Rattus norvegicus: one gene and its partners. The protein of the gene in region 3 purifies or fractionates together with the protein of the main gene of each other region. This does not show direct contact. Links are inferred from orthologs where the notes say so. Each region holds a gene or a part of one and is shown on either strand. Other genes may lie near its edges.

Evidence for each region.
Region 1: the proteins of Dyrk1b (region 3) and Fam53c purify together in Homo sapiens (affinity purification with mass spectrometry; 3 studies listed by BioGRID and IntAct, counting the BioPlex papers as one, with this or other methods). This does not show direct contact. The link is inferred for Rattus norvegicus from reciprocal best matches to the Homo sapiens genes DYRK1B and FAM53C.
Region 2: the proteins of Dyrk1b (region 3) and Fam117b purify together in Homo sapiens (affinity purification with mass spectrometry; 3 studies listed by BioGRID and IntAct, counting the BioPlex papers as one, with this or other methods). This does not show direct contact. The link is inferred for Rattus norvegicus from reciprocal best matches to the Homo sapiens genes DYRK1B and FAM117B.
Region 4: the proteins of Dyrk1b (region 3) and Dcaf7 purify together in Homo sapiens (affinity purification with mass spectrometry; 10 studies listed by BioGRID and IntAct, counting the BioPlex papers as one, with this or other methods). This does not show direct contact. The link is inferred for Rattus norvegicus from reciprocal best matches to the Homo sapiens genes DYRK1B and DCAF7.
Region 5: the proteins of Dyrk1b (region 3) and Lzts2 purify together in Homo sapiens (affinity purification with mass spectrometry; 3 studies listed by BioGRID and IntAct, counting the BioPlex papers as one, with this or other methods). This does not show direct contact. The link is inferred for Rattus norvegicus from reciprocal best matches to the Homo sapiens genes DYRK1B and LZTS2.

What each region holds. Positions count from the first base shown.
Region 1 is NC_086036.1:26,636,836-26,642,863, reverse strand, and holds the start of Fam53c (family with sequence similarity 53, member C), read right to left. Parts: upstream 4,084-6,028; 5' UTR 4,042-4,083; intron 3,576-4,041; exon of another isoform or gene 992-3,575; 5' UTR 861-991; coding exon 783-860; intron 426-782; coding exon 368-425; intron 1-367. Other genes in the region: Slbpl (uncharacterized protein LOC100363294), read right to left, coding at 5,336-5,401.
Region 2 is NC_086027.1:68,831,613-68,837,804, forward strand, and holds the start of Fam117b (protein FAM117B), read left to right. Parts: upstream 1-2,741; 5' UTR 2,742-2,894; coding exon 2,895-3,480; intron 3,481-3,565; exon of another isoform or gene 3,566-3,644; coding exon of another isoform or gene 3,645-3,861; intron 3,862-6,192.
Region 3 is NC_086019.1:92,605,255-92,611,293, forward strand, and holds the start of Dyrk1b (dual specificity tyrosine-phosphorylation-regulated kinase 1B), read left to right. Parts: upstream 1-2,199; 5' UTR 2,200-2,336; coding exon 2,337-2,415; intron 2,416-3,500; coding exon 3,501-3,664; intron 3,665-4,345; coding exon 4,346-4,465; intron 4,466-4,561; coding exon 4,562-4,750; intron 4,751-5,044; coding exon 5,045-5,192; intron 5,193-6,039. Other genes in the region: Fbl (rRNA 2'-O-methyltransferase fibrillarin), read left to right, coding at 194-306, 880-1,025, 1,127-1,151.
Region 4 is NC_086028.1:91,486,099-91,491,632, forward strand, and holds part of Dcaf7 (DDB1- and CUL4-associated factor 7), read left to right. Parts: intron 1-2,686; coding exon 2,687-2,896; intron 2,897-4,555; coding exon 4,556-4,673; intron 4,674-5,503; coding exon 5,504-5,534. UniProt on the Homo sapiens protein: Involved in craniofacial development. Acts upstream of the EDN1 pathway and is required for formation of the upper jaw equivalent, the palatoquadrate. The activity required for EDN1 pathway function differs between the first and second arches.
Region 5 is NC_086019.1:253,833,065-253,838,114, forward strand, and holds the end of Lzts2 (leucine zipper putative tumor suppressor 2), read left to right. Parts: intron 1-1,032; coding exon 1,033-1,695; intron 1,696-2,155; coding exon 2,156-2,413; intron 2,414-3,282; coding exon 3,283-3,966; 3' UTR 3,967-4,550; downstream 4,551-5,050. UniProt on the Homo sapiens protein: Negative regulator of katanin-mediated microtubule severing and release from the centrosome. Required for central spindle formation and the completion of cytokinesis.

The DNA of each region.
Region 1 (6,028 bases), on a different chromosome or scaffold from region 3:
TGATGTACCTTTAATCCCGGCACTTGAGAGGCAGAGCCAGCCTGCTCTACCATGCACGTTCTAAGACAGCCAAGGCTACACAGAGAAAATGCCATGAAAAACAAACAAAATAACCCAAGCTGCTGTGAAGGCTGGACACCTTCAATACTAACACACTGGAGGAGAGGCAGGGGATCTGTAGAACTCAAGGCCAACCTAGTCTACATAGTGAGAGCCTGTCTCTAAACGAAACAAAACAAAACAAAACAAAGACCACCAGAGAACTAGAGCTAGGCTCATCAGGTGTGGTCACTGAGAATCAACAGAAGACATGTGTGGACAGAAGCACAAACAAACATATAGTATATAGAAACCGCAGATTCCTTACCAGACACAAGCTGGAAAGGGTCCCCACAGTTGGGTATGTCTGCATGATCAGGCAAAGGCTGAGAGAGAGATCATCCATCATTATTTGGGTTCAAGACAAGGACATTTCTAGAGAGACCTCTTACATTCTTCCTATAAGTCATGGGCTACAAGGATTTAGACTTCTGTGTTGTTCTCTTCCTATAGTCTTCCCCAAGTTAGTGAGAAACAAGCCACACCTCAAACATCACAAAGCCCCTTTCACCCAAGTTTTAGTGTCCCTGCCCCCTTCCTTTTGGGCTGGGTTTTGAGCGGTTAGTAGGCTTTTCCACTACAAGCAGGTTTCATACAACACAGAACATGGGTAAAATTATAGCAACACACAGCCTCCAAAAAAGGGGGTTAGATGATGGAGCAGAAGAAATACTGGTCTTTACCAGACTGAGGCTGAAGCGTGTACATTTCAGCTCATCCAGCGTCTGCTTCTGTAGCTGCTCAGTGATCAGGGTTATCATGTTTCTGCCCAGGACTTGACTCGCACACTTGATGGATGTCTTCCCTGTGGTTCTTCTGGATCTCACTCATGAGCCACCTTCTGCCACTGCAGCACCATTGGGACCTCCCTCTCCAGTCATGCCTGCGGCGTCTGCCAATTACAGAGGGGTCAGCCCCCAAGTAACATTAGATGGAGAAGGCATGGCACACATACCACAGTGTTCCTATGCCAGGCCTCTGGCAGACATCGTTAATCGATCATAGTACTTTCCTGGTGAGCTTAAAGACAGCCTCAGAAACACTCTGAACTTGGCACTCTTGATATCCAGTAAAATAAACTGGAGTTGGCAAGCAAAGTGAAACCTACTTACCATTTCTAACCTGGCTTAAGTTCTGTTGTGTCTACCTAGAATATCAGCACCACCTAGAAAACGGCTCAAATGAGAGAGATGCCCAAATGGTTATTTCCACACTGAGTTAACACAATATTTTCTTTATCTTACAGCCAGAAGCCAAGAAAGAAACCCTTCTAAACCACATGGGTTTAGTACAGAGAGAGGAGCAAGGGCTGGGCTTTCAGTTTCAGATCAGGATAAAGAGGATTTTAAATGAACAGCTGATATATTGCTATTTCCCAGTAGATGCTGCTGGCTATTCTCTTATCCAATGAGAAAGAATGGTCAGGTAGTCAGATAGTTCCAATCACAATCACATTTCAACTCTACAGATATTAAAAACAACTCATGACTTCATCCAACCAAGTTTTTTTCTTTTCATGAACCCACTCGAAGACCATGGATATAATTAACAAAGATTCTTCCTTATGACTGAAGCAAACTGATTTTTTTTTTTTTGTTCTTTTTTTCAGAGCTGGGGACCGAACCCAGGGCCTTGCGCTTCCTAGGCAAACGCTCTACCACTGAGCTAAATCCCCAACCCGCAAACTGATTTTTAATCTGAGCAGCTTCTAAACCCCAATTACCTACCTAAGGGACTTTTGCTTTGTTCAAAGAGGGAAGCAGAGGGGAGGTTAACAATGTCTTTTCTACCTCTTCCCATAAATGACCAACAGGCAAGACCAGAGTATATGGAGCATTAACTGGTATAGAAAACAATCAACTAAGACAGCTAACTCTTGAGCAGACGCCTGTAATCCCAGCACCTGGGCAGTGAAAACAGGAACCTAACAGTTCTTGAAGGCCAGTCCGGAAAGAAAATGCTGCTACCTTCACCGAGTCTTAATCCACTCTGCTCAGGCAATTTTGACTAAGCACATAACGTTCCTGCTTGCCCATACATAAAATGGGTATAACGATCTTACTCTATCACAGGAATGAGGCCACATGAAATATCAAAATAGCTTACCAACTGGCCTATATAAAATAGTTCACACAGACTGTTGTTTCTTATCTCTCCCTTTGCTGTTCTTCAAAGCCTTGGTATGCCTAAAGAGGTGGTATCACTACAATGACGAAAGCTATGTGGCTCTCTCTGGCCAGATGCCAACCTCCTTCACTTGCTCACTGAGTTGGAGCCTAAGGGCTCTTCCTCCTGTGACCTTTTGGAGAAGCCCACCCCTTGCAAAAAAAAAGAAAAAAAGAAAGAAAAAGAAAAAGAAAAAGAAAAAAAAGAAAAAAGAGGGTATCAGAAGAACATGACAGAGAAGAGCTAAGTTCCTTATGATGCATATGGCGTTCTTTGGAAGAAAGGCGCAGACGTCAATCATCACTATAGTTAACTATCGTTTCCACACATAATTATTACTACCACTCCGAACAAAGTTCCAGCTTCCTGAGAACTCCCTTCAGCTGCTTCCCCTGTGCTGTGCTCTGGTGGGAGAAGCAAAGAAGCTTGAATCACTTCTACTCCTATTTTCTAACTCTGCCCTCAAAAAACCAACAAGAAGGGAACTAAGTGGAGAATTTACCCTAGAGAGACCCCAGGCTCTAAGCTGACCAGCCATGAGGAGCAGGGAGAGAAAAAACTTTCAATCTTTTCATGAGGCATTTGGACAAACAGCAAACTCCCAGCCCTCTCCAGGAGCAGCTGAAGAGGGTGATTTTCTATTTTTCTGCATTTTAATTGTTGGGATGTGGCCACACACAGCGGTAATTGGAACAATGCAACTACCACCACGCAACTGATACTCTCAGCCTGGGTTTCCTAAAACAGGCCAGGCTGAGAGGGGCAACAGAACGGAAGCCATAAGGAATCAAACCAGGACACAAAAGAAGGCAAACCAGCTCTGCAAGGGGCCTCCTCTTTCTCAAGCAGACATTTAGAAAAGTGTGAGAAACCCTCTCTGGCGGCCTTCCTTCCCCTTCCATTTTGTGTATCGGAGAGGTAGACAGCTCTCAACATTTCACTAAACAAGTTAAAACTTCTCAGCTGAATGTTACTGGCACAAGGCTCAACCCTTCACTGAGCAAGCAGGCCGCTCGGCCCTCCCAGTAACCCCACCAGGCCTAACTCTCAGCCCAGGATCTCCCTCCACCACAACCCCCTAAGATAACGACTAGACACCCCCCCCCAATCCTATTGGATGGAAGCAACCCCTGACACTTGCGTTTCAGATATTTAGGTTGTGTTGAAACCTGGACAACCTAAGATCCAGTCAGGCCAGGGGAAAAAGAAAGTCACAAATCCCCTGGGGGCATTCCCCCAGGTCTCCAGGTCCCACACCTCTGGGAGAAACTGAAGGAAAACATAAGCGAGGCAGGGAGATGCAAGAAACGGTAAGTGGGTATTAGAATGCTCTTCTTCCATATGGTTCTAGTGAAGATAGGGGTGACAAGTGGGGTGCACCCATCCCCCCACCACGACGAAAAAGCAAACGACTAGGCTCCCTCTAATCTTCAACCTCTCCCTCTGTTGCCCTGCCTGTCCCCGCGGGGTGGGGCATGGGGCATCTACTGGCCCCCGGGGGGGCACTCCAGGGTTTGCTCAGAGAGACTGTCGCTCTCCTGTATCCATTCTGGTTTCCTCATCTGACCGCGGGAAGCGAACTCAGGACGCAGGGGATGGGAAGGGTCTGGGACATGCACTCTGCCACCCCCTCCCCCACCGGGTCCCGTGCTCTCCCGCCGAGGCGGCCTGCAAGGCTCCGCCGCACTAGCGGCTGGACTGGGGGAGGGGAGAGAGGGAGGGACGGTCGCGGTGCCCGCCCCGAGGCCCCAGCACCACCTGCCCTCCGCTACCTACCGCGGCTCTTACAGCTCCCTGGGCCGCGGCCGGAGCAGCTCTGAGCGCTCCGTTCGCCCCACGGTGCCCTTAAAAGGCGCTGGCAAGAACCAACCGGTCTTTGAGGAGAGTCGAGGGGGTCGCGTCTAATCGCAGAATCCCCCGGAACCTCCCGAAGAGGCCCGAGCCCTACGTGGTGTCTCGCGCAACCTTTCTCAGTAGAGTGCTGTCGGAAAGAAGCCTAGAGCTGTGGTTTGGGAACCGGATGGTTTCCTCACTAACTATTCCCCCCCTCCAAAATATCGTAGAAAGTGGACGGGCCCAGTTGGAAGCACATCACGAAGCCCATAGGGGAAGCCATGTCGGATAAAGGTAAACAAAGCCATTGTCCACTTCTTCCATTACACCATCCTCCCAGCTGAACTGTCTGACTCAACTCAGGCCACAAAACAGTATTAGCCACAGTCTTCTCACCTGGGCTCCTGTCCCTTTCGATACAGCCACCTTTCTGTAAGCATCCCCCCACCTTCCCCCGGCAAGGACTGATCCTCGGCGTGAAGGCTGCTGGGAAATGTAGTCCAAGCGCCGGTCAGGGCCTGCTCTGAGTCCCCGAGCCCCTCTTCTAGCTGCCTGATCTGCTGGAGCTTTTATAAACCTGAGATTTATAACGGTTGCGGAGCTGTGTCCCCTTGCTCGATAATTTGTTCTCAAAACACTTTGTAAAGCTGAGGCGGGCCTGAAGCTGTTCACTCCCTCCCTTCCCTATCCTCCTTATGCCCCCCCCCCAAGCAGGATGAGGTAATGGGATTGTGATTATGACATCATAGGTGGTTCAGTTGCGGGGTGTATAGGGGGTGGAGCAGGATGATTATGGCTGGACCACTTAAAGACAGAGGGAGGGAGGAAGCTGACATATGAGGAACCGATGTCAACAGTACTGTATTTCCTCTCCAGGAACTGGAAACCACCTTTTTATTAAGTTTACACCACTATTACCACCTCCCACCTCAGCCAAAGTTTTAAGTCCTTTTTCAATAGCCTGAATGTTGATGTAAGTAGAGAAGAAAGCCCATAGAGGTTCCTGCTCTTCGGTAAATTGGAGGTCTCAGCTGAGAAAAAAAGTTTTCAATAAATGCTTTCATGCGCAGATGGAGTTTTAGATTTCTTTTTTAATCGGTTAAAGTGGTAATTAAAAAAAAAGTAATTCCAGTCATTTCATTATTATACAGTTGTAGCAGCAAATCCCTAAAAATAAAGTGTTCGCTGTGAATGCTTTGAATCCCCCCTTGTCTGGGATAGGTAAACAGCAGCAGACTTAGTGATGGAGAAGTTCATCTTTGAGCTGGGGAGGGCAGGAAGCAGGAACCTTCAAGTATGCAAACTGAAAAAGAAGAGTAAAAAAAAAATCATTAAAAAGTTGAGGTGGGAAGCCAGGGGCAGCGGTACACATCTAAAATTCCAGTACTTAAGAGGCAAAGGCAAGAAGGCTGCGTCTGCTTCCAGGCCAGCCAGTCAGCATTTCAACTGCAGAGGCCAGAAAAGGGTTACACAGTGAAACAAACAACAAACAGACATCTGTGGAGATTAATTTTGCTCTGCATATTTTCCTTTGACAAAGAGTAAAGGAGACATGGTTCCTGCAACTGCAAGGAGCTACATTCTTTGTTTGCTTATCTTTGAGACCGGATCTCATTTAACTCTGGCTGGTCTCAATCCTACTATGTAACTAGAGACGTCCCTAAACTCTGTTCTTCCTGCCTCAGCCTCCTAGGTCCTGGGATTATAGACAAGAATTACCATGTCTACTTGCACTATATGCTTTAAGTAAACATATATATTACCGTTCTCCTTTCAATTACCAGATGGAAACTGTCAATAACAAACCCTCTGAAAGGTTAAATAACTGCCCAAGTGGTAGGTAAAGATATATCAAAACTGAGGACTCTTAACCCCTTGGTTTGGTGGGGTTTTGTTTGTTTGTTTGTTTGTTATGAGACAGGCTCTCATG
Region 2 (6,192 bases), on a different chromosome or scaffold from region 3:
AAAACTTCAGAAAAAATAAGTGTCATAAAAATCCATTTTCTTGGGAACAGGAAACATGGTTCAGAGGTTAAGAGAACTGGGTTCAATTCCCAGTACCCACCTAGTGACTAGACTAACAAACACCTGTAATTTTACTTTCAGGGGATCCAGCACTCACTGTTTTCTGGTATCCATGAGCACTAGATACATCTGAACCACAGACGATACCATATGTACGTACATACATATATATATAATTTAAAAATATATATCTTTTTTTTCTTGTAAAGAGTTAAGCAAACCCAGAGGCAAATAAGTCTGTCAATAATTTTGTCTTCTGAGGTTCCTGTGTTACTATTTGCTGTGCAGGAATTGCCTCATACATGGTAGAACTACAAGTTCAAACACAGATAGACAAATCTGAATATGTTACTTCTTGCCTAAAATTTCATAAGTCCCATTTCAACCTTGGGAGAAAGTGTAAACTTCAAATCATCTCCTGAGAGGTGTCGGGCAAGCAGGTGTGTGTGTGTTTGTGTGCTTATTTTCTTGATCCTTGACAAACAAGGACACTCTTCATTGAGGAGTCAGAACACAAAGACCTTACCTTGATGTATTTTTTGTCTTGATTCTTCAAAAGCAGTGATGGGCAAGGGCGAGAATAAATGGTGCTTTTATTCATCCCCATTCACCCTTAAAAACAGAACCACCCTACAGCATCCAACTCTACAATTCTATTTACATTTTGACTGCTAAGACTTTCTGATGATTTCATAGTTTTTATTTACAAATAACTACAAATATCCTTTGGTATAATGGTGGCTTCAGTGATTAATACTGGCTTTCTCTGTTGGAAGTTCAGCTTTAAGTTGATGAACTAAGCAGGCTTGTTAAATGAGATAAAAGGAGGCTTTTTGTTTTTTATTTTTTGTGTCTTTGGATCTGTGATCCTGTGAGAAACACGGCTAGGAGAAAATGTGAACAAAGGAGACATCACTCAGTTTTGAGTCCCAACACTGCACAAACTAACCACGGTGGCATAAATCTTAATTTTCACGAGGTGAAGAAAAGAGAATGAGCAGCCCAAGGCCGTGCTCAGCTACATAGTGAGTTTCAGGCTAGCGTGGGCTATATTGGACTCGATCCTAAAAACAAAAAAGGAACTAACTCCAGCAGACCAGGTTTTAAACTATGCAAAATATTTTAACTTTTGATCTAATACAGCCTATCTGAGGTTTTTGTTTGTTGGGATGCACATATATAAATACAATGATGAATAAATGAATGAATGAATAAAGGGAGACTACTAGAAAAGGATCTTTGAGAACTCCCTGTTTAGCACCTTTTCATCAGATCCGTGGTTAATAGTCAGAACTGTCTGCTGCAGGAGATGGTATTGCTTAGCTGTGCCTTACAAACAAGAAACTTCTCTATGGACATACCAAGATCACAGACTATGTGGTGGATCTGACTGTTTCCAGGATTCTAGGAACCTACCCAGTGGCTTTCTACAGGAACCTAATAGGGCTTGAGGCCCGTTACCAGAACCATCACTCCCACGTTTAAGAGATCTTTTTAGAATGCACATCGATTAAAGCTGCAAAGGGATTAAGGACGTCACATGCAACATGTATGTTGACTTTTTAATTTTAGAGGAACCCACATATTACTTTAGAATTTCTTTCCTTTCAGAAAGTTCTTATGAAAACTGGAGACTTATTTTTTTTCTACAGGACTAAACTGTGAATGGTGGGCCAATGAAACAGCTCAGCCAGATCTGTGAGTTTGATCTCCTGGACAGACATGGAGGAAAAGAACTGGTTGTCCTCTGACCTCCACATGCACACACATGCCTATACACAAGCCAAATTCAGAAATGTAATAAATAAAATATGGGTAGTGTACCCAGTTCTGTATCAAATAGAATCAAACGGAGGCCGCAGCACTTTATAGACTTGCAAGCTAATAGTCATTTTTCTAAGGTATAAGGGAACTGTGAAGTAATTGATTAAATGAATCCTTACTTGAGATTTATGGGGGGGGGGGTAATAGCAACACTATTCGGTAACAACTTCACAGATATCATCTAAAGTTGCATTCTAACCTGCAAATGTAATCATTCTGAAATTGGAATCTTTGTAGCGCTAAAAAGAAAAAGGAAAGAAAGATATAAAATACCCTAAGATTAAATTTCTTTTATTTTCGAGCCCTGCCTATAGGTAGATGGAATTAGGACAGCACAAAGATTAGGGGGTGAGGGGGTCCCCAAAGTGATGTGCGTACGTGTTAACTAACAGATACCACTGTTGTAAGGAAATGAGTTACAGAAAGACTCGGTTCAGACCATCCCTGGGGACAAGGTGGTCCGGTACAGTCCGTCCCTTTGGCCATATTCCAGGAGTCCCAAGGGCTCCCTCCGGGAAACAGGGACGCGCGTGGCTATGCGCGCGCCTACACGTACACGCACGTGTATACACACACCACACACACGCACGCACGCACGCACCACCCCCGCTCCCGCAAAAGCGCCCCCCCTCCCCCCCGGCGTTCCCCCTCCCGCCACAGCCGGTTTCCTCCGCGGCTCGACCCCTCGGGGGCGGGCCTCTTTCTCTTTAAAGAGCAGACGCAGCCTCGGGGAGCCGACCAGCACGCAGCCAATCAGCGAGTCCGAACGGCTGGAGCGCGCTGACGCTGCACCAATGAGCGGCGTCAGGGGGCGGGGACAACGGAGGAGACACTATTGTTGATGAGGAGCCGCGGCGGCGGCTGCACCACCTCGTCGCTGCCCGCGCGCCCCCTCTTCCCGAAGTCAGGCTTCGTCACCCGCTGGCTCGGGCCTTTCCTCGGGCCCCAAGCAGCAGGTCCCCGCCGCCCAGCACCCCCGGCCGCCGTCTTTGGGGCGGGGGGGGGGAACCATGTCCCAGCGGGTGAGGCGCAATGGGTCTCCCACGCCCGCCGGCGCCCTCGCGGGTGGCGCGGTCGGCCCGGCCGGGGGCCCCGGGAGCCGCTTGCAGCCTATGAGGGCGACAGTGCCGTTCCAGCTAAAGCAGCAGCAGCAACATGGCAGCCCCACGCGGGGCGGCGGCGGCGGCGGCAACAACGGAGGCAGCGGAGGCGCCTCAGGCCCCTCGGGTGGCGGCGGCGGCGGCGGCCCGCGCACCGCCTCACGCAGCACCAGCCCCACGCGCGGCGGCGGCAGCGCGGCGGCGCGCACCAGCCCCACGGTGGCCACGCAGACGGGCGCGTCCGTGACGTCCACGCGCGGCACCAGCCCCACGCGCGGCACGGCGCCTGGAGCCCGAAGCAGTCCTCCGCGACCGCAGCCGCCGCCGCCCCTACTGGGCACCGTGTCGTCGCCCAGTTCGTCGCCCACCCACCTGTGGCCGAGCGAGGTGAGTGCGGCCCCACACCCCGCCCGCGTTCGCCACCGGAGGAGGTCCCCAGAGCAGGGTCGGCCCTCGGCGGAGAAGAGGAGCCCCAGCGCCCCGGTGTGCAAAGCAGGTACGTGGAGGGTTGGGGTCCCGTGCCCTGGAGTGGGGACTGCAGCACTCCGGTGGGGAGGGGCGGGGCGGGGCGTTCGGTCCGCCACCCATGCGTCGTGCCTCTGCGGGTCCCCGCCGTGGAGGTGCAGCCGCTAACCTTGGGCCTTGGCTCAATTTGTGGAAATGATAAACCCTGGGGTTTGGCCTTGTGTCGCTACTGCTAGGGCTGGACCTGTCACTTTTGTTTTAGTGACGCGATTACTGCTTGCAAATAGCACATGTGTGCTGCTCAGTGTTTCTGTTCCACAAAACAGTTTCGGATATGGAGGACTGAATGCATCAGCAAAGGCGGATTTGGATCATAGAAGAGTTGTGAAGCTGGGAGCAGTTTTTGCATTTCGTAAGACTTAATGAGCAGCAAGAAGGGAGAAGTTGAGCAAGATTGCTTTGGGGTGTGTGCATAGGTCTATGTATATATTTACGCATATGCGTAAATGTTAGATAGCTAGCCTGAGGGTCTGAGTGTGTTTCTGAGATACTGGTTTTTCTCTTTGACTTATTTTTTGCCCTTTCTTTCCTCCCTGAAACAATCTCACTAGCTCTGGCTGGGATGGAACTTGCAGTGTAGACCGGGCTGGGCTTGATCTGCCTGCCTCTGCCTTCCTAGTGCTGGGATTAAAGGCACACCCGTTTTGTGTGTGTGTGTGTGTGTGTGTGTGTGTGTTGAAACGGTCTACTGTAGCCCCTCAGCTGGTCTGTAACTCACTGTGTAGATAGTTTAGTCTCTGCCCTCTGAGCATCAGAACCATGCTATCAAAAGCATGCTTGCTACGTTGCCCTGCTACAAAATGCTCTCCTGCAATAATGGGCAGGCGGTTTTCACACAAGACCTCATTTTAGCTTTCATATTGGCCTTTAGATGGGTTAAGAACAAGTGGTGACAGGTGAGCTTTGGTTCTGTTTGTCTTTCACAAAGAACAAGTCTTCAAATTAGATCAAGGGAGTAGCTTCTTATATATAAGAGAATGTCCGAGAAATGCATTGCACAGCAAGATTACAGGAATGCTGACGACTTCTGCAGTTTGCCGTTGAGTTCCTGGAGCCGGGTAGTGCATCTGGTGTATGGAAGATGAGCTGCTAAGTGGGAGTAGATGAGGAAGGAGACGCCGGCCTCAGCCTGATAGCAGAATGTTTTAAAAAGTTGATTCCCAACACACCCTGAGGAGAGCTTAATTAAGGTAAACAGTCAGTGTGAAGGAGGCTTTATTTCTGGGGCCATCAGACTCCCTGTGTGCTCATTCATATTTTCCAACGCCCCCCCCCCCCAAAAAAAAACCCAAAACAAAAAACCAAAAACAGTAGTTACTCTTAAACTAGGTATGAGGGATACGGCTTGTCTTTCAGTCTTACTCAAGTGTAAATATCTGATGGCTTCCTTTTGGAATATATTCTTGTTTTACTCTAATTAGATCCATACAAAGTGGGGGAAGTCTTTCTAGCCATAGACCACTGTGATTAAACCGCTCCATGTTTATGTGACCAAATCTAGAAAGAGACATTGTAGTTACTGGAACCTTTTTTGATTGAAGGGAGATTACCAGTTTGCAGGCTGGATGAAATGTAAAAGTTCTTACTGTAGAAACAAAGGTGTTAATTGATGCAGTTCTGGAACCCTCACATGCCTGGGTTCATCATCAGGCTGCTAGCTTCTAGGTGTCTTATGGCGTGAGCAGAGACCCCGCCTTCACCAGGGGCTTCAGTATTGCAGAGTCCCTAAATTGGAGATCTCAGGATCCCTAGCTGGTTGATTATTTCTCTGTGCTTTGAACTAATTACTGAATGATCCAAAATGTCTTTCTCTTTTATTTTTTATTTATTTATTTATTTTGTATATGAGTACACTGTAGCTGTCTTCTGACACACCAGAAGAGGGGATCGGATTCCATTACAGATGGTTGTGAGCCACCATGTGGTTGTTGGGATTTGAACTCAGGACCTCTGGAAGAACAGTCGGTGCTCTTAACCTCTGAGCCATCTCTCCAGCCTCCAAAATGTCTTTCTCTTGACTCTGATAAAGTCACTACTCACTTATCCATGGAAGCTATTTAAACATTCAACTTCAGTGCCTGCCAGGAGCCTGTCTGGGTTAGATGTGCTTTCAGAAAGTAACTCAGCAGCAGGGTTAATTGTGGAGTTTACTTTTTGTTCTCTCTTCTTTTCATTGTCTTATTGAGATGAGAAGTGGAGAGGCAGCATCAGAGCAGTTAGAATAAACTCTGGGTAGTTACTGGGCTCAATGCCCATGTCAATTATTGTGAGTCACGTGGTACAGAGAAGTGAATAGCATAACTTAGTGATAGAGTCCATGGTTATATGGGATTCTTTATTTTACATTGTGTGCGTGTTGTATGCATGTGCATTGGTACTTACATGCTAGGGTCATATATGAGAGGTCACCAGATGGCAATCCGCTGGAGTCTCTCCTCCTTTTCAGTTTTTGGGTCTGGAGGACTGAACTCAGACACCTTTACCTGGTGAGCTATCTTACCAATTTTAGTTCTATTTAAAAAGTTTAATTATATTTTCTATTCTTCCCTCCCTCCCTCCCTCTCTCCCTCCTTCCCTCCCTGTGTGTGTGTTTGTGTATGTGTGTGTGTTTGTGTGTGTGTGTGTGTGTGTGTGTGTGTATTTGTGTATATATGTGTGTGTCTTTGTCCACATGGATTCCAGA
Region 3 (6,039 bases):
GAGGAGCGGATGAGTGAAGTGACTTAGGTTCTGGTTCCACCTTTGGGGTGCTTTGGAGGGAGTGGCTGGGAGTAAGACTGGAGGCAGAGGAGTCCCAGGAACCTGGTGGTGAAACAGCACAAGGCCCTGTTGGGAGGCTCTGGAAAAGTTTCTGCAGACTTCTGTTTTTAACCGCTGTCCCATTTTTCCTTAGCAATGGTGGATGTCATCTTTGCCGATGTGGCCCAGCCAGACCAAACCCGAATTGTGGCCCTGAATGCCCACACCTTCCTGCGGAATGGAGGACACTTTGTGATTTCCATTAAGGTATGGATCTTGCAGTGTCAGGTTGAGTAGCAACAGCGAACGTTGTGGATGCTTGATCTGTCCTGGCTGAGCAAGTTACTTAGCTGAAGCCTGTTTGACTTGGTCTATTAGTCTTCTCTGTGGTTGAAGATCTATAAGTGTTAGGCATTTGGAACAGACTATGGGGTAGAATAATACTAACTGCAGCAGGTATGGTTCTCAAAACATTTGTTTAAAATATAGAAAACTCTCAGGCATCCTCACCATCTTCAGAGCCTATTGCTACATTTGTTCTATTGCTGCCAGCTGGCCTTCAGCTGTTACCGGAATATGGAAGAGTGTTCCTGACTTTAACCACTGCCTTAGATAAGGGAAACAACCTGTTTCCAGTCTGAGCTAAATTAAAATGTCTTTTTTTTTTTTTTCCGGAGCTGGGGACCGAACCCAGGGCCTTGCGCTTGCTAGGCAAGCACTCTACCACTGAGCTAAATCCCCAACCCTAAAATGTCTTTAATGTAGGAAATTGGCTAAGTCTGCATCTCCAAATCTGTAACAAAGACATGCTTTTAGCTTAAAGTCTTTTCTCCTCTCTAGGCCAACTGCATTGACTCCACAGCCTCAGCAGAAGCTGTGTTTGCATCTGAAGTGAAAAAGATGCAGCAAGAGAACATGAAGCCTCAGGAGCAGTTGACACTAGAGCCTTATGAACGAGACCACGCTGTGGTTGTAGGTGTGTACAGGTAAGTACCAGAATAGACCTCTCCCTTACTTTGGGCCAGAGCTTCCAGGGCCTGAGAAGCTAAAATTGGTTACAACTCGACCCACTCTGATTTCCTCACAGGCCACCTCCCAAGGCGAAGAACTGAAACTCGACTGTCTGGATTGAAGAAATGTGTGTTGTTGCTACTGTTGCACATGTGGCTTTTGACTTTTTGCAGGGGATTTTTCTATTAAAAGACTAATCTGTCTTCCCTGTCTGGTGCTGATTGCTCAGTGGCCTCAAGACGCATGCGTCCTTGATCAACTTTGTGTGGTGGTGGTGGGGGGTGCCTGGAAAGTTTCATCCGGTCACATGGTGCACGTTCCATTGGTGGCTGCTACGCACGTGCGCGGCTCAGCACCCTTAAGGCGCAGGCGCACAGTGCTCCACTAGGTCACGTGAGGGGTGTGGGGGCGGAGCCGGGACAGGGGGGCCGGTTTGTTGTGGTCGCCATTTTGCTGGTTGCATTACTGGGTAATCGGGGCCCTGGCTCGCCGCGTCCACCAGACACCCTCAGCCAGTGGGCAGGTCTGAGCTCGGGCTTCCCGAGCAGTTTGAATCCCCTTACCCACGCCCTCAGGTAACGGTACTGCGACGGGCGGGATGGCACGCTTGAGTGGGGGGCAGGCCCGGACCCGCCCTGCCGGTCCCCGCGAGATTTAGCAAGGGAAAGGAGGGGGCTTCAGGCCAGTGCAGCGCAGCCCGGCACTTCACAGCCGAATTCCTGGAAGGGGCTAAGCCCGAGGGAGCTGTCTTGAGGGGGAGCCTGGGAGGGGGGCAGCCCGGCCCCACTCCCGCCCTTTGTTTGGGCTCGGCTGCGCTGGCCGCTTCGCTGTCGCCTAGCAACAGCTGCCCTGACTGCTAATTGGTTAAGCTCTTGGCAGCAACAACCAATAGCGCGGTTGTTGCCATGGGAGGTGCGGCCTGCCGGGTTCACTTGTGCCCCGCCCGCCGGGACTCCACCGGCCGGGGCGGGCCTGCCGGGTGGGGGGCGGGACGCCAGGGTCCCTGGGGGCGGGTGGCCACGCGGGGCGGGGCTGGGCCGTAGGGCGAGGGTTAACCCGCCCCTCCCCCGTCCACCTGCTGTCCCCTTCCCCCGCGTGCCCTGGTCTGACCCTCGTCCCCTCCTTTTCCCGCCCCTCCCCCTCGGTGGCAGTGGCGGCGGCTGCTGTTGTCACCCACCGGGCCGCCTGTCCCGCTTGCCCTCACTGCCGCGGGGCTGGCTAGGCTAGCCGGGCCGGGGACAGGCGGCCACCTCCTCATCGCCGCCGCCGCCACCGCCGCTGCCGCCATGCTGGCCGCTCGCCCACCGCACTGGGGCCCCCATCGCGCTCCAGCCCCCCGTGGGCCCAGCGCCAGCCCTGACCCGGGTAGGGGTGGGTGCTGGAAGAGCTGGTCCTAGTGTGGGAGGGCTTGGGGAGAGGTTGTTTATCTGTGAAGCTCCAATAAAGGGGACCTGGAGTAACAGGACAGGATAGAAGGGAATCTGACAAGGGGGAAGCTCCTAGGGAGGGGATTTTGTTCCGAAGGACACTTAGAGGGAGTGAAGTCTTGTGTGATATTTAGGGATTTGGCTTGTCGGGCCCTTCTAGGAATAGGCTCAATTGTGGAATGACCCCGCTTAGAAATGGAGGAGATAGCAAGGATCCCAGGATAAGGAAGAAAAAGACAGTGACTCTTAGATGTTGAGAAATTACACCTCCCCCTTGTTTTCCTAAGGAGTTGGGGTCTTGAAGTAATAAGAAAATACTAGTGGGATAAATATAGACTACTTAGAAGAAGAGTCCCTGGTGCGGGAGACCTCATATAGGGAGCAGGGAGCGGTCTTGGTGGAGTATGGAGTTGGTCCCAGGGGAAAGTATGCCATGTTGGTTGAGACATCTATAGCTCGCATGTAAAGGAGTTCTCAAATAACCTTGGTTTTGCTAGGAGGTCCACAAGGACTGCTATGTTCTTTAGAGAGAACTAGTGGGTAGGCTAGGCTTGAAATTGGGCCCTCACTGTTGAGGGAAGACCATGTGAGGGCGGTGCCTTTTCTGAGGGACTCAGGCTGGCCACCGGCAGAATTTCAAAGAAAGCCTGAATTCTACTACCCAGACTACTCGGTTTCTGCCTTCTCTTTTGCTTTCCTAATTCCTGGCCTCTTTCTCTCCTTCCTGCCCTGGCCTTGTACCAGCCCTTTCCCACCCCTGTCTGGTTTGATGATTCCCTTTTACATTTTTCTCAATGTGATGCCTCATTCATTCATTTGGCTCATTTGTTGAGAGACATGGCTGTTTTAACCCACTTGCTACCCGTTTCTGTTTCTACATGGCTACCTGGTGCTTGTGCTCTGTCCTGTTCCCTGTCTCCCCCTGGTCCTGCCCTCTAGTTCATGCCCACTTCTTCTCTAACTGACCCTGACCTCCACACCTTCTTGTTTCATGTTGTCCTCCCACTTTCTACCTGCTCTCAGGTCTCAGCGGCGGTGGCAGCCGAGGTGCAGGATGCGAGAAGGCGCCCCCCGGCCGGGCTCCCGCTCCAGGCCTCACACCCCTGCGGCCCTCTGAGCCCACCATGGCCGTCCCACCAGGCCATGGTCCCTTCTCTGGCTTTCCGGGGCCCCAGGAACACACACAGGTAGGCATTGAGCAGGCTTCTCACCTGCCTGAAGAGTGAACGGCCTCCAGACAACAGCATGGTTGTTGGAGGATCTCTGGGGAGTTTGGAGGCCTCACAATACTAAAAGAGTTTCAGGTAGTTGGACTTTGAAGAATCCACCCTCTTTCCTGCTGAGGACTGAATTCTTGAGCTTCTCCATAATGTGTGTCTTGGGGTCAGAACTGTCACTGGCACAGAGCAGACAGAAAGAAACACAGGTCTGAGTGTTCACGAGAGAGAAGCCTGAAAGAAATCTAGAGGGGGCCAGAAGGAAAATGAGCTGAGAGCAGTGGGAGACCCAGGGAGACTAATCCCAATCCAAGAGCTTTTTAATTGGGCAGAGATACTTACTTGAGAGTAAGGACAGGAAATTCAATAGCATTGTTCCCAGAAACAGTGGTCTCAGGTGCAAAGACTCAGGGGACAGAACCCAGATACGGAGCAAAAGACCTAGGGCTGAATGGAAGGTCAGAGGTAAACCACTCACTTCATATAATGAACGGATGAGTGGAACCCACAGTGTGTGCTTGTGCTCCTATACAGGATGCGATCAGAGCTAGGGAAATGTAGGCATGGTCAAATGAGGTGTCAGCTTTACCCTTCTCTCCTAGAAGTTGGAGGTGAAGGCTTGTGCTCAGTGTCTGCCTCCCTCTGCCACAGGTATTGCCTGATGTGCGGCTACTGCCACGGAGACTGCCCCTGGCCTTCCGGGATGCGACCTCGGCCCCGCTGCGCAAGCTCTCAGTGGACCTCATCAAGACCTACAAGCACATCAATGAGGTGAGTGGGGAATGGACTTCTGTGGTTGGGTGTTGAAAGGGGTCCTGGCTTCTTGCCTGGATCACTAAGGGTCCAGTTTCCTGGCTGCCTGAGCAGGTATACTATGCGAAGAAGAAGCGGCGGGCCCAACAGGCGCCACCCCAGGACTCGAGCACCAAAAAGGAGAAGAAGGTCCTGAATCACGGCTATGACGATGACAACCACGACTACATTGTGCGCAGCGGCGAGCGCTGGCTAGAGCGCTATGAAATTGACTCTCTTATTGGCAAAGGCTCTTTTGGCCAGGTGCGAGGTTCCCCCGCTCGCCCAGTGCCTGGGTGATGCAGACAACCACTTGGTTACCCCGCTTCCTCCTCCCAGAGTGTTCACTTGCTAAAAGTCCTGCCCTGGGCCCGCCACTCAAGCCACTTAGTTTCCCTGTCTTAGTTCTGGATGAGTATAAATCACAAGACTCTTTGAAAGAGAACTGTTGTTACTTTTTATCCATTACAAGGGATGTGAGCACTGGGCTGTGAGTTGTTAGAAAGGTATGGCTGGTGGGCCTCTCGCTTACCCAGGTAACTCTCCTTGTCTGGACAGGTGGTGAAAGCCTATGATCACCAGACTCAGGAGCTGGTGGCCATCAAGATCATCAAGAACAAAAAGGCCTTCCTGAACCAGGCACAGATTGAGCTGAGGCTGCTGGAGCTGATGAATCAGCATGATACAGAGATGAAGTACTACATAGGTAAGGCCTGGGTGGGTGCAGGGCGCCTGGCATAGAGAGGCCTCCACTGAGGGCTGAGGGCTCCTCAACCTCTGCTGTGGTCATGATTTCTCCTTTCTGCTCACTGAGGGCCAGACTCTGGCAAACACTTGCCATGAACTACCTCCCCCAAGCCTGGTGAGGGACAGGGCAGCTTTGTGGACGTGTTGGAAAAACGGAGGCACTCAGTGCTGTCACATGCATGAGGTGACAGTTCAGGCTCAACAGTTGATAATGTGAGAAGCAGTGACATCTAGAGCTATGGCTCTTGTGATATGTCCCAGTCTTCAGTTCCTCTGGAAAGGGATTCTTTAATAAAAGGACAGCCAGTATCCCTTGCCACACAGACAGCAAAGACAAAAGCAGGTTCTTTTGATAGTTTGGGGTTTTGGGTGATGGTGATATTTTTGGAGGTTTTGTTTTGCTATTCTGGGGATCAAACCCCGTGCTTCATAAATGCTAGGCAAACAGGTCCTCCCTTCAAACATCCCCGACCCCAGAACATCTCCAGACCTTTTTTTACTTCATTATTTTGAGCTAGGGTCTCACTAAATATATCCAGATGTACCTCGAGCTAACAGTCTTTGTGCATCAGTGTATCCCAGGCCTGCTGGTTCAGCATTGTAAAATGAAATGAGGAAGCATGGAGCTGTTTTTTTTTTGTTTGTTTGTTTGTTTGTTTTTTGTTTTTTCGGAGCTGGGGACCAAACCCAGGGCCTTGCGCTTGCTAGGCAAGCGCTCTACCACTGAGCTAAATCCCCAACCCCGCATGGAGCTGTTTTAAAGCTTTAATTTCCCTTTGCAGTGCCGGGGCTTGAACCCTGGTCCT
Region 4 (5,534 bases), on a different chromosome or scaffold from region 3:
CCTCAACCAAGGGTCAAATGAAGAGTGTGTGTGCAGAGATGACCACTAAAGGACCTTGTGCAGATGTCAAGTAGAGACAGCCTCTGTTCTCTGCTAGAACCAACTCAAAGCTGGGAACAACTCGGTGTCTGGAATACAGCTCTATGACTGAGTGCTTGCCTAGCATCCATGAGGTCCCAGGTTCAGCCCCCATTATGGGGGAGGGGGGCCTTGCAAGAATAAGCCTAAGGGATTTAAACCAAGAGAATGCTTACAGGGTGAAGGACTGGAGAGGAAAGCAGTGGGGGTGGGGGGGTGGGGGGTGGAGAGGTCCACTACCCCCAGGCTGAAGGCTACTGGAGCCCAGAGTCTGGCTTTACCTGGCAGACATGCTTCTGAACAGAGGCAGAATAATATTGAGCTCTTGCTTCCCAGAATCCAATTTCCCTCCTCAGATTCCTTTGTCTGAACCATCCAGAGGCAGACAGCAAATCTGGGGCCCAGCCAAACTTTGGCTTGTAGCATCAGGTCTCTGTGACACAGAGAAGAGCAGGAGGAGCAGGAATGGATCAAACTAATGGCAGACTGGAAAGAAGGAACCTGTGATGGCAGATCTGTCTGAGGAAATGCCGTGTGTGTGTGTGTGTGTGTGTGTGTGTGTGTGTGTGTGTGTGTGTGTGTGTGTCTGTCTGTCTGTCTGTCTGTGTGTCTGTGTGTGTGTGTCTGTGTATGAGTATGTGTGTGTGTATGAGTGTGTGTGTGTTAGGGCAGGGAAGGTTTGCTGCCTGGCAGATGTAGTAGAGGAGCGTTTAGTACATTGGGAGCTGCTACCTGCCCTCTTTCGTGCTGAACCCCATAGGTAGAGCGCGGGTAACAGCAGTTACCTAAGCTGGGAGAGCTCTGTGCTCTGAACCACACTGCGGGAATCCCCAGTGTTTCCGCAGGAGGATTACCTACAGCCAACAGGAAAGCAGGTGCTGAACACAGAGCACACTTGAGAATCTTGGTAATGATGACAGCAGATGTCAGGGTGGAGGATGAGAAGAATATCTCACTAAAAATATATGATCTGAAGCCAGGTGGGGTGGCACATGCCTTTGATCCCAGCACTCAGGAGGCAGAGACAAATGGTTCTCTGAGTTTGAGACCAGCCTGATCTAAAAATCAAGTTCCAGGACAGCCAGTGCCACACAGAAATGCTGTCTCAAAAAACAAAAAACAAACAAATATAAAGTAAGGTCTGTGTTGAAAGGATGGTTCAGTGGTTAAGAGCCTCGGCTGTTCTTCCTGAGAACCCAGATTCACTTCCAGCACCTACATGGCAGCTCACAGCCATCTATAACTCTAGTTCCAGGGAATCCTATGCCCTTTTCTGACCTCAGCTATTCATGAAGTACACATTCATACAAGGAGCCAAAACGTTCATACAGATAAAATACAAATCTTAGGGAAAAAAAGGTCCTCTGGCTGCCCTGGATACTAAGGGACAAATACTGCTAGTAGATACCCATCTATCTGTGATCAGTGTGCTCACCCCTTTCCTCTAGTAGATACCCTTCTATCTGTGTTCAGTGTGCTCACCCTTTCCTCTAGTAGATACCCACCTATTGTGATCAGTGTGCTCACCCTTTCCTCTAGCCATAAAGAAGCTCTCTGTGTAAGATTGACTGATTCAAAAGGGCCATGTATAGTCACACATGTCTGTGCTCCTATCACTTGAGTGGCAGATGCTAGAGGATCAAGAGTTCTGGCTTATCTCCCGCTATATCATAGCAAGTTTAAGGCTAACCTGGGCTGTATGAGACCCTGTCTTAAAACAACAGGAAAAGGAAAGAGTGATTAAAAGGGGATCCTGGATGCCTATAATTCTAGTGCATAGGTGGTAAAGATAGAACAGTCTAAAGTTTGCTAGCCTGGGCTACATGACAAGACCCTGTCTTCTTAGGCCTGACACACCAGGTAGACAAAGGCTTTGTCTAGTGCTGTTCTGCTACATAAGGACACACACACACACACACACATTCATTCTCTCTCTCTCACTCTCACTCACTCTCTTTCCCCACAGCCCTTACCACATAGCAAGTTTGAGGTCAACCTGGGCCACATGAGAATTTATTTTTTTCAGATTTACTTATTTTTATTTTATGTGTATGGGTGTTTTGCCTGCATTATGTCCTTGTACCACATGTGTACATAGTATGAGAAGGCAGAAGTGGGTGTCAGATCCTCCGGTCCAGAGTTACAGATCATTTGTAGCTGAACCTGGGTATTCTGTAACAGCAACAAGTACTTTTTGCCACCAAGCCATACCTCCAGCTTCTAGTTGTCCTCTTAAAAAACACAAAACCAAAAGCATGTTACCTTTTTCATACAAATGGATCTCACGTCTAGGTTTTATAGCTGAACAGCTTGGTAGAGCCAATGTGGTTTTATCATGACTCTGCATCTGACTGCACGTAAGTGAAACCACTGGCAGCCAGAAAATGTCGTTTCTGTTTTATCTCAGGGTTGAAAGAGGAAAAGTAGAAGGCAGGAATGGGAAGAAGTCAGCCAGTGTCTATGGTAGAATGATCTTTATTCTCTGAGAAGCCACAAACTTAACCTGCCTTTGTGTCATGAGCTGGGGATCAGATGATCTGGAAGTGACTGATGTCCATGCTGTGGGAAAGGAGAAGACTGGGCTGAGTCTGAAGCTTCTTACCAACAGGTCTATGACATTGCGTTCAGCCGAGCTGGAGGTGGCAGGGACATGTTTGCCTCTGTGGGTGCTGACGGCTCTGTGAGAATGTTCGACCTCCGCCATCTGGAACACAGCACCATCATTTATGAAGACCCACAGCACCACCCCCTGCTTCGCCTCTGCTGGAACAAGCAGGACCCCAACTACCTGGCCACCATGGCCATGGATGGAATGGAGGTAAGGCCTGAAGCCTTGTCCCTTGACTCCAGTGTACTTACAAGAGTAGCTCTCAGATGTTAGCAGCCAGTACCCAGGATAGCTCATGGAGATGTTTTTGATTGTCACAAGTTAGAGCATGGAGTCTTCCTGGCATCCCATGAGTAATGACTAAGGAGGCTGCTACTCATCCTGCAGTACACAAAACAGCCCCAACAGTGCCAGTGGGCACTAGACTGAGGGTCCCATCCACAAAAGGACTGTGTTCAGAACCTGCTCCCTGCTTGTTCGGTGAGACAGTCTCTGTAGCCAGATGAGCTTGGAACTTACTGAGCATCGTAGGTGAGCCGTAAGCTCAGTGCAGTCACACGGCCTTCTGTGCAAGGGTCTGATGTGGTGGGATGTGGCTTAGTGGCAGAGTGCTTGTCTAGCATGCTCAAGGCCCTGAGTTCCATCCCTAGTCCAAAAAAAAAAAGCAACACCGAACAAAAACAAAATGCATACACACCCATGCTAACACACACCCATGCTAACACACACCCATGCTAACACACACCTTTAATCCCAGCACTTGGGAGACAGAGGCAGGCAGATCTCTGTGACTTTGAGTCCAGTCTACAGAGTGAGTTCCGGGACAACAAGGCCACATAGAGCTATCCTGTCTCAAAAATAATAAGTAAGCAAGTAAATAAATTTCTGGTAAAGTGATGCTAAGACCGGTAGAAGAGTGGTGATGGGTCTGCAGCTTGGGACTCGGTACAAATACCACAGAGTCACCATGATTCTGGAGGCTCTTCAAGCTTGGTCTTGTCCTTGGTTCAGCAGTCTCTGTTTGGGAAAGTGGTGTTTATTAAGGAAGCTGGTCCTAGACAGAAACTTCATGGATGAGATAAGAGTACAAGTCAGAGTAGCAGGCGTACGGGAGGACTTGCTGTTCCTGGCCCAGAGTGTGCAAGAGCCTTTTACACCTAAACACATGCATGCCTATGCTTCCTAGCTTCAAGTGTAAAAACTCTGGTCCTGAAGAAATAATATAAAATCCATCTGGTAATTTGTCATGAATTAGTTGTATTAACTAATTTTTAAAAATGCAAATAAACAATTCACAGTAAAGAAAAAAGGGTTAGACAAGTAATAGCTAGATGATATTTAAACCAAGTCACGGTTACTGGGACTGATAGAAAGGAGGCCTTCCCACTCGGTGTTCTAGGCAGACTCTGCAGCTGTTGCAGGCAGATGTATAGGCAGAGGCTCTGTGGTCTGCCAGTTCTCAGGAGAGGGGTGGGTTGTTGGTTGAGAGGGTAGGTAGTTAGCCTCGGTTTGGGTGCGGCTGATGTCTCAGACTTCTTACATCCTGGGTTCTGCATTGGTAAGACACATTCCACCTAACTGAGATGCACAAATTTTTTTGTAGGCTCTTAGCAAAGATGCTTGTGGATCATCAAACTCATATTGCCTGTTCCTTCTTCCCCTTCCCCTTCAGTCTCTTTAGTGTCCAGTCTCTCAGCATGGAGAGTACAGGGTCTATGTTTGCTCATTTGTATTGTTCGTTTCTGCCTCAGGAAATGCTACCTCTAGCGTTCTTAGATCCGTAAATGAAGAGACCATTCTTACAATTGGGTGTGTGGGTGTTCCCTGCTGCACTCTGCAGTTATGGGCCTTTCTCTTGTATTTCTGCAGGTGGTGATTCTGGATGTCCGAGTTCCCTGCACACCGGTTGCCAGGCTAAACAACCACCGAGCATGCGTCAATGGCATTGCCTGGGCCCCACACTCGTCCTGCCACATCTGCACTGCAGGTAACCATGGTGGGAGGCAGCATCAGGGTCAGGTGACCGTGGTGGGGGAGGCATCGGGTCTTAAGTTTGTTTTATTTTGTTATTTATTTTGTTGAGTCAGGGTCTTGCTGTATAATTAATGCTGGCAGGCGGTGACTTGCTGTATTTATCAGGCTGAGCTCCAAATGGCAGCAGTCCGCCTCCTCTGCCTCCAAAATGCTCTCATCACAGTCATGTGTCACCACACCTAGCGAAACACATCAGTTGGCAACAATTCAGGTTTTTTGTTTATTTTCTGATGGTACCGGGGATTGGACCTAGGACTTTGAACACGATAAGAGGCACTCTGTCACTCAGCTGTGTTTCCTGCTCCTGTTACTGGGATTACAGGCATGGATGGAATTTTTTAATGTTTATGTCTGTATAGCACTTTATGTCAGTCATCTGTACAATTCATTGAAATATAAATGTACATAAATGGGAAACAGTCGTCAGAGAAGCATCTTTATCCACTCAAGTATTTTTAGTGGCTGAAGTGACATCGTATTTTGGGATCATTGTATCTTGTGTCCTTTCTTGATTCCTCAGCCCAGTGTCCTGATCTAATTCTCTAGCCTGGTGCAGGAAATGGAGCTTAAGGACACCAGGGATGTGGAGTCAGGACCTAGATTTGGTCCTCACTGGCTACATGGCATTAGGGAGCAAGTCCGAGGACATCAGTAAATCTTGGGCTCCTCTTTTCTGAAATAAAGCTCCTTTTACAAAGTTTTGCAAATTGTGACTGCCTCTCCAAATACAAGACTGTCACCTCATCACCTGAGCTCTGGCCTTCTTACTTGCTTTTTCCCCAGCGGATGATCATCAGGCCCTCATCTGGGACAT
Region 5 (5,050 bases), about 160 Mb from region 3:
CGTGCGTGTGTGTGTTTGGGCGAAGCCTTTGTTTACCTTTATTCTGGGACTGACTCTATCCTGTTTTTAGTAGGAGAGGAGGATAATGTTTTGCTTGCGTGGCTATTATCATGATTAAAAATAAGCATTTTGAATTACTTAACATAAGTAGACGTTTAGAAACGGTGCCGCCGGGGTTGGGGATTTAGCTCAGTGGTAGAGCACTTGCCTAGCAAGCACAAGGCCCTGGGTTTGGTCCCCAGCTCCAAAAAGAAAGAGAGAGAGAGAGAGAGAGAGAGAAAGAAAGAAAGAAAGAAACGGTGGGAACCATTGTTTTTCATTTATAGGGGTGAGAACCCTGTATGGGAAAGCCAAGTAGTATGATGATTTTGTAAGATCAAGGTGGGCCAGAGAGATGGCTCAGAGGTTAAGAGCACTGACTGCTCTTCCAGAGGTCCTGAGTTCAAATCCTAGCAACCACATGGTAGCTCACAACCATCTGTAATGGGATCCGATGCCCTCTTCTGGTGTGTCTGAAGACAGTGACAGTGTACTCATACACGTTCCTAAGTTCAGATCCAGTACCCATATAAAAAGGTGGCCGTTGTGGCAAAGGACTGGAATCTCAGCACTTGTCAGGCAGAGACAGGCAGATCCCTGGGGCTTGCTAGCCAGTCAAGACTAGCTGGATTGATGAAATCCAGGTCCAGAGATTGTGTAAAAACTTAGGTGGGAAGTGATTGAGGAAAGCTCCTAACTTTGACACTTTGACATTTGATCTTCACACATAGGCACCACGTATCCATACTCATACATATGCACCCCCCTCTGTGTGTGTGTGTGTGTGTGTGTGTGTGTTTTGAAAGATCAAGTAAGCAAAGTGGGCTTGGTATCACACACCTGTAATCTTGAAGGGCTTGTGTTCAAGGGGATACATAGTGAGTGGACCCAGGCCAATAGAGTAAAACCCTGTCTCACAACAATACTAAATTTTTTAAAAAGAAAGGGGTCGGGCAGATCATCCTCACAGTGTCACATGCTACCTCATTTCAGAATATGGAGAAGATCCTGATCCGACCAACAGCCTTCAAGCCAGTGCTACCCAAACCTCGAGGGGCGCCATCCCTACCTGGCTTCCTTGGTCCTCGAGCTGCTGGGCTATCTGGGAGCCAGGGCAGCCTGACACAGCTGTTTGGGGGGCCAGCCTCTTCCTCCTCCTCTTCCTCTTCCTCCTCTGCTACTGACAAACCCTTGGCACTCAGCGGTTGGGCCAGTGGCTGCCCTTCAGGAACACTGTCAGACTCTGGCCGAAATTCTTTATCAAGCTTGCCCACCTACAGCACCGGAGGTGCCGAGCCAACTGCCAACTCCCCAGGTGGGCACCTGCCCTCCCACGGCCCTGGCCGAGGGCCACTGCCTGGTCCAGCCCGAGGGGTCCCTACTGGGCCCTCCCATTCAGACAGTGGCCGGTCCTCCTCCAGCAAAAGCACAGGTTCCTTGGGGGCTCGTGTAGCTGGGGGGCTCTTGGGCAGTGGGGCCCGGGCCTCCCCTGGCAGCAGTTCGGGTGGAGACCGCTCCCCACCCCCTCCACCACCTCCACCCCCTTCGGATGAGGCCTTGCTACACTGTGTCCTGGAAGGGAAGCTTCGAGACCGAGAGGCAGAGCTGCAGCAGCTGCGGGACAGTGTGGATGAGAGTGAGGCCGCCGTGTGTCAGGTGCGGCCAGTGGCAGTCCTGGGGCGGTGTGGCTGAATACCCAGGGCCTAGGGACAATTCCTGTTGGGGAGGAAGAGGGTAAAGACTCATGATGTGACACCCCCAAGGCTATGAGCATAACCTTCAAAGCAGTGAGGAGGCAAGGTATGTGAATTGGATCCAGCACTGGCTTGTAGGATGTTAGATTTGAGCAAGTTGCTTAACCTCACCCAGCCCCAGTTTCCCTGTCTAAATGGGGATAGCTGTTACTCCCTAAAGGGGTTATGAAGATTAAATAAGACGAAAGGGATAAAGTACTTAGAATAATGCCTGTCACCTAGGAAATGCCATATAAGTGCCTGCTTTTATGGTTGTCCTAATTCACTGGATTCAGGCCAGGCAGGGAGCCACCCAAGCAGAAGATGCTAGAACTCACGATTTGGGGGGACCCAACCGTTTCTAGCCTTCTGTCTTTGTCTAGGCATTCGGGGCACGGCAGCGGCGCTGGCCAGGAGAACGAGAGGACTGTGCCTCTCACGCACAGCAGGCCACACAGCGTGTCCAGCGGGCTCAACAGCTGCTACAACTGCAAGTGTTCCAGCTGCAGCAAGAGAAGCGCCAGTTGCAGGATGACTTCGCCCAGCTGCTGCAGGAGCGAGAGCAGCTGGAGCGCCGCTGTGCTACTTTTGAAAGGGAGCAGCAGGAACTTGGGCCACGGCTAGAGGAGACCAAATGGGAGGTATGCAAGATGGGCACTGGGTGGGCTGGAGGGATGGCTCAACGCTTAAGAGCACTGACTGCTCTTCCAGAGGTCCTGAGTTCAATTCCCAGCAACCACATGGTGGCTCACAACCATCTGTAAACTTCTGGTGTGTCTGAAGACAGCTACAATGTTCTGATATACATAAAAAATAAATATATTAAAAATAAAGATGGGTACTGGGCAGGCTGAAGGGGTTACACTAAGATACACAGAGGTGTGGCCAGTGTTTAGCTACCTTCCAGGGTCTGTCCTTCCTATTCTTTCTGTGTTGGGGGTTTCCCTGTTCCTCTGTTGTTCTCAGAGTTGTGATCTAGCACCCACATAGCTAGTGGTGTTTCCTTCTATGATAGATGGGTACTGTTAATCCCTCTGTTTCCACTCCTGCAGCCTCCGTCTCCAGGCCTGGGCCTTGTTTATACAGCATCTGGTATAAGGATCCCAGCACTGAAAAGAAATGACCTGGGTCTCTGTTCCCCTATCACCTCTTTTTTTTTTTTTTTTTAACATTTATTTATTATGTATAGTCATACAGCTTTCTACCTGCATGTATGCCTGCAGGCCAGAAGAGGGCACCAGACCTGATTATAGATGGTTATGAGCCACCATGTGGTTGCTGGGAATTGAACTCAGGACCTCTGGAAGAGCAGACAGTGCTCTTAACCTCTGAGCCATCTCTCCAGCCCCCCCCCCCCTTTCACCTCTTAATAGAAGTATAACCATGGACGTATCACTAGGCTCTCCTGCTGGGCTTCTGTGTGTAAACTCCTGAGACAGCATTTCCTTGAATGCCCGGTGCCCAACACCCAGAGGCCTCACCATCTTCCCTCAATACTTTTCACCTACAGGTGTGTCAGAAATCAGGTGAGATCTCCCTTCTGAAGCAGCAACTGAAGGAATCTCAGGCAGAGCTGGTCCAGAAGGGTAGTGAGCTGGTGGCGCTGCGGGTGGCCCTTCGAGAGGCCCGGGCTGCCTTGCGGGTCAGTGAGGGCCGTGCCCGGGGCCTGCAGGAGGCAGCCCGAGCTCGGGAGCTGGAGCTGGAGGCCTGCTCACAGGAGCTACAGCGGTACCGCCAGGAGGCTGAGCAGCTCCGGGAGAAGGCTAGGCATTTGGATGCTGAAGCAGCAGGACTCCGGGAGCCCCCTGTACCCCCGGCTACCACCGACCCGTTCCTCCTGGCGGAGAGTGATGAGGCTAAGGTGCAGCGGGCAGCCGCTGGGACAGGGGGTAGCCTGCGGGCTCAGGTGGAACGGTTGCGCCAAGAACTGCAGCGGGAGCAGCGGCGGGGAGATGAACAACGGAACAGCTTTGAGGGGGAGCGGCTGGCCTGGCAGGCGGAGAAGGAACAGGTGATCCGCTACCAGAAGCAGCTGCAGCACAACTATGTCCAGATGTACCGGCGTAACCGACAGCTGGAGCAGGAACTGCAGCAACTGAGCCTAGAGCTGGAGGCCCGGGAGCTTGCTGATTTGGGCTTGTCGGAGCCGGCCCCTTGCATCTGTCTGGAGGAGATCACTGCCACTGAAATCTAGGACTTTGCAAGGGGTGCGAGCCACCGCACCACCTGCACCGGGATCCATCGAGCAAGCGCTCCAGGTCTCAGAGCCAAAAGGCCTCTGCCGAGCATTCGGGTGGCCCCATAACTTGGAGAAGCAGAATCAACCCCCCTGCAGTTCAGTGTCACTGTCACCCAGAGGCTCCTGCCTACGCTGCCATTTCACTCCCCACCGCCGCCACTGCCAGTCCACTCCAGCTGGGAAAGGAAAGGGGGCTAACCTGTCCCCACATTCTACCTGCCTGAAGCCAGAGAGAACCAGATGGCACCAGCTGCCCCAGATGTGCCTGCCCTCAATATGCCCACGTGGAGGGGCGGGACTAGGAATGGGGCTGATCCCCATGTCCCAGCTCCGCAAGCCTCTTGTGGGCTGAGGGGGCTGAAGTCAGACCAAAGGAAGAACTCAGCAATGTCTTGTTTATTTGTGTTCGTGACCAAGCCGCCCTCCCTAGTTCCAGGGTTATGGCCTCGTTCCCACTTGTATATTTTTCACACTGTAAATTTCTTGTACAAACCCAAAGGGGAAAAAAATTAAAAAAAAAAAGTTTTGTTAAAAAAAAAGGCTTGATGGATAAACTCTAGGGGAATTTGTTTGACATCCTGTCTCCTCTGCTTGCTGGCTACCCACCTACCTGTGATGGAGTTCTTAGGACTAATCCAGTAGGAATCCCGGGCCCTGGTGGACGACACCATGAGTCGTGAGGAACTAGAAAAGCCTTTCCTTCTGTCCTTTGCACTGAACACTGCTTGAGGCTGGGGGATGAATGCAGTGACCTTGACGACTCAGTTTAAGCCCCTCAGATTATGGTGAGCCAGGTCCATCGTGAAAAACCTCACACCAGTTACAGGCTTCAGACTTGAGTGTCTGTCTCCTCACTGGGAGGCAGTTCCAGGATTAGGGAATGCAACTGGCTTAGGTTGCCCACTAGTACACCTTGTAATTGGATATCCAGCTTATCTTGAAAGGCCAGAGCCCTTTTGACAGCCCAGTGGATCAGAGCCACCCAAGTATGGCAGTGCTCTCGGTGGTCAAATGGATAGGACAGGTATATGGAACCTGG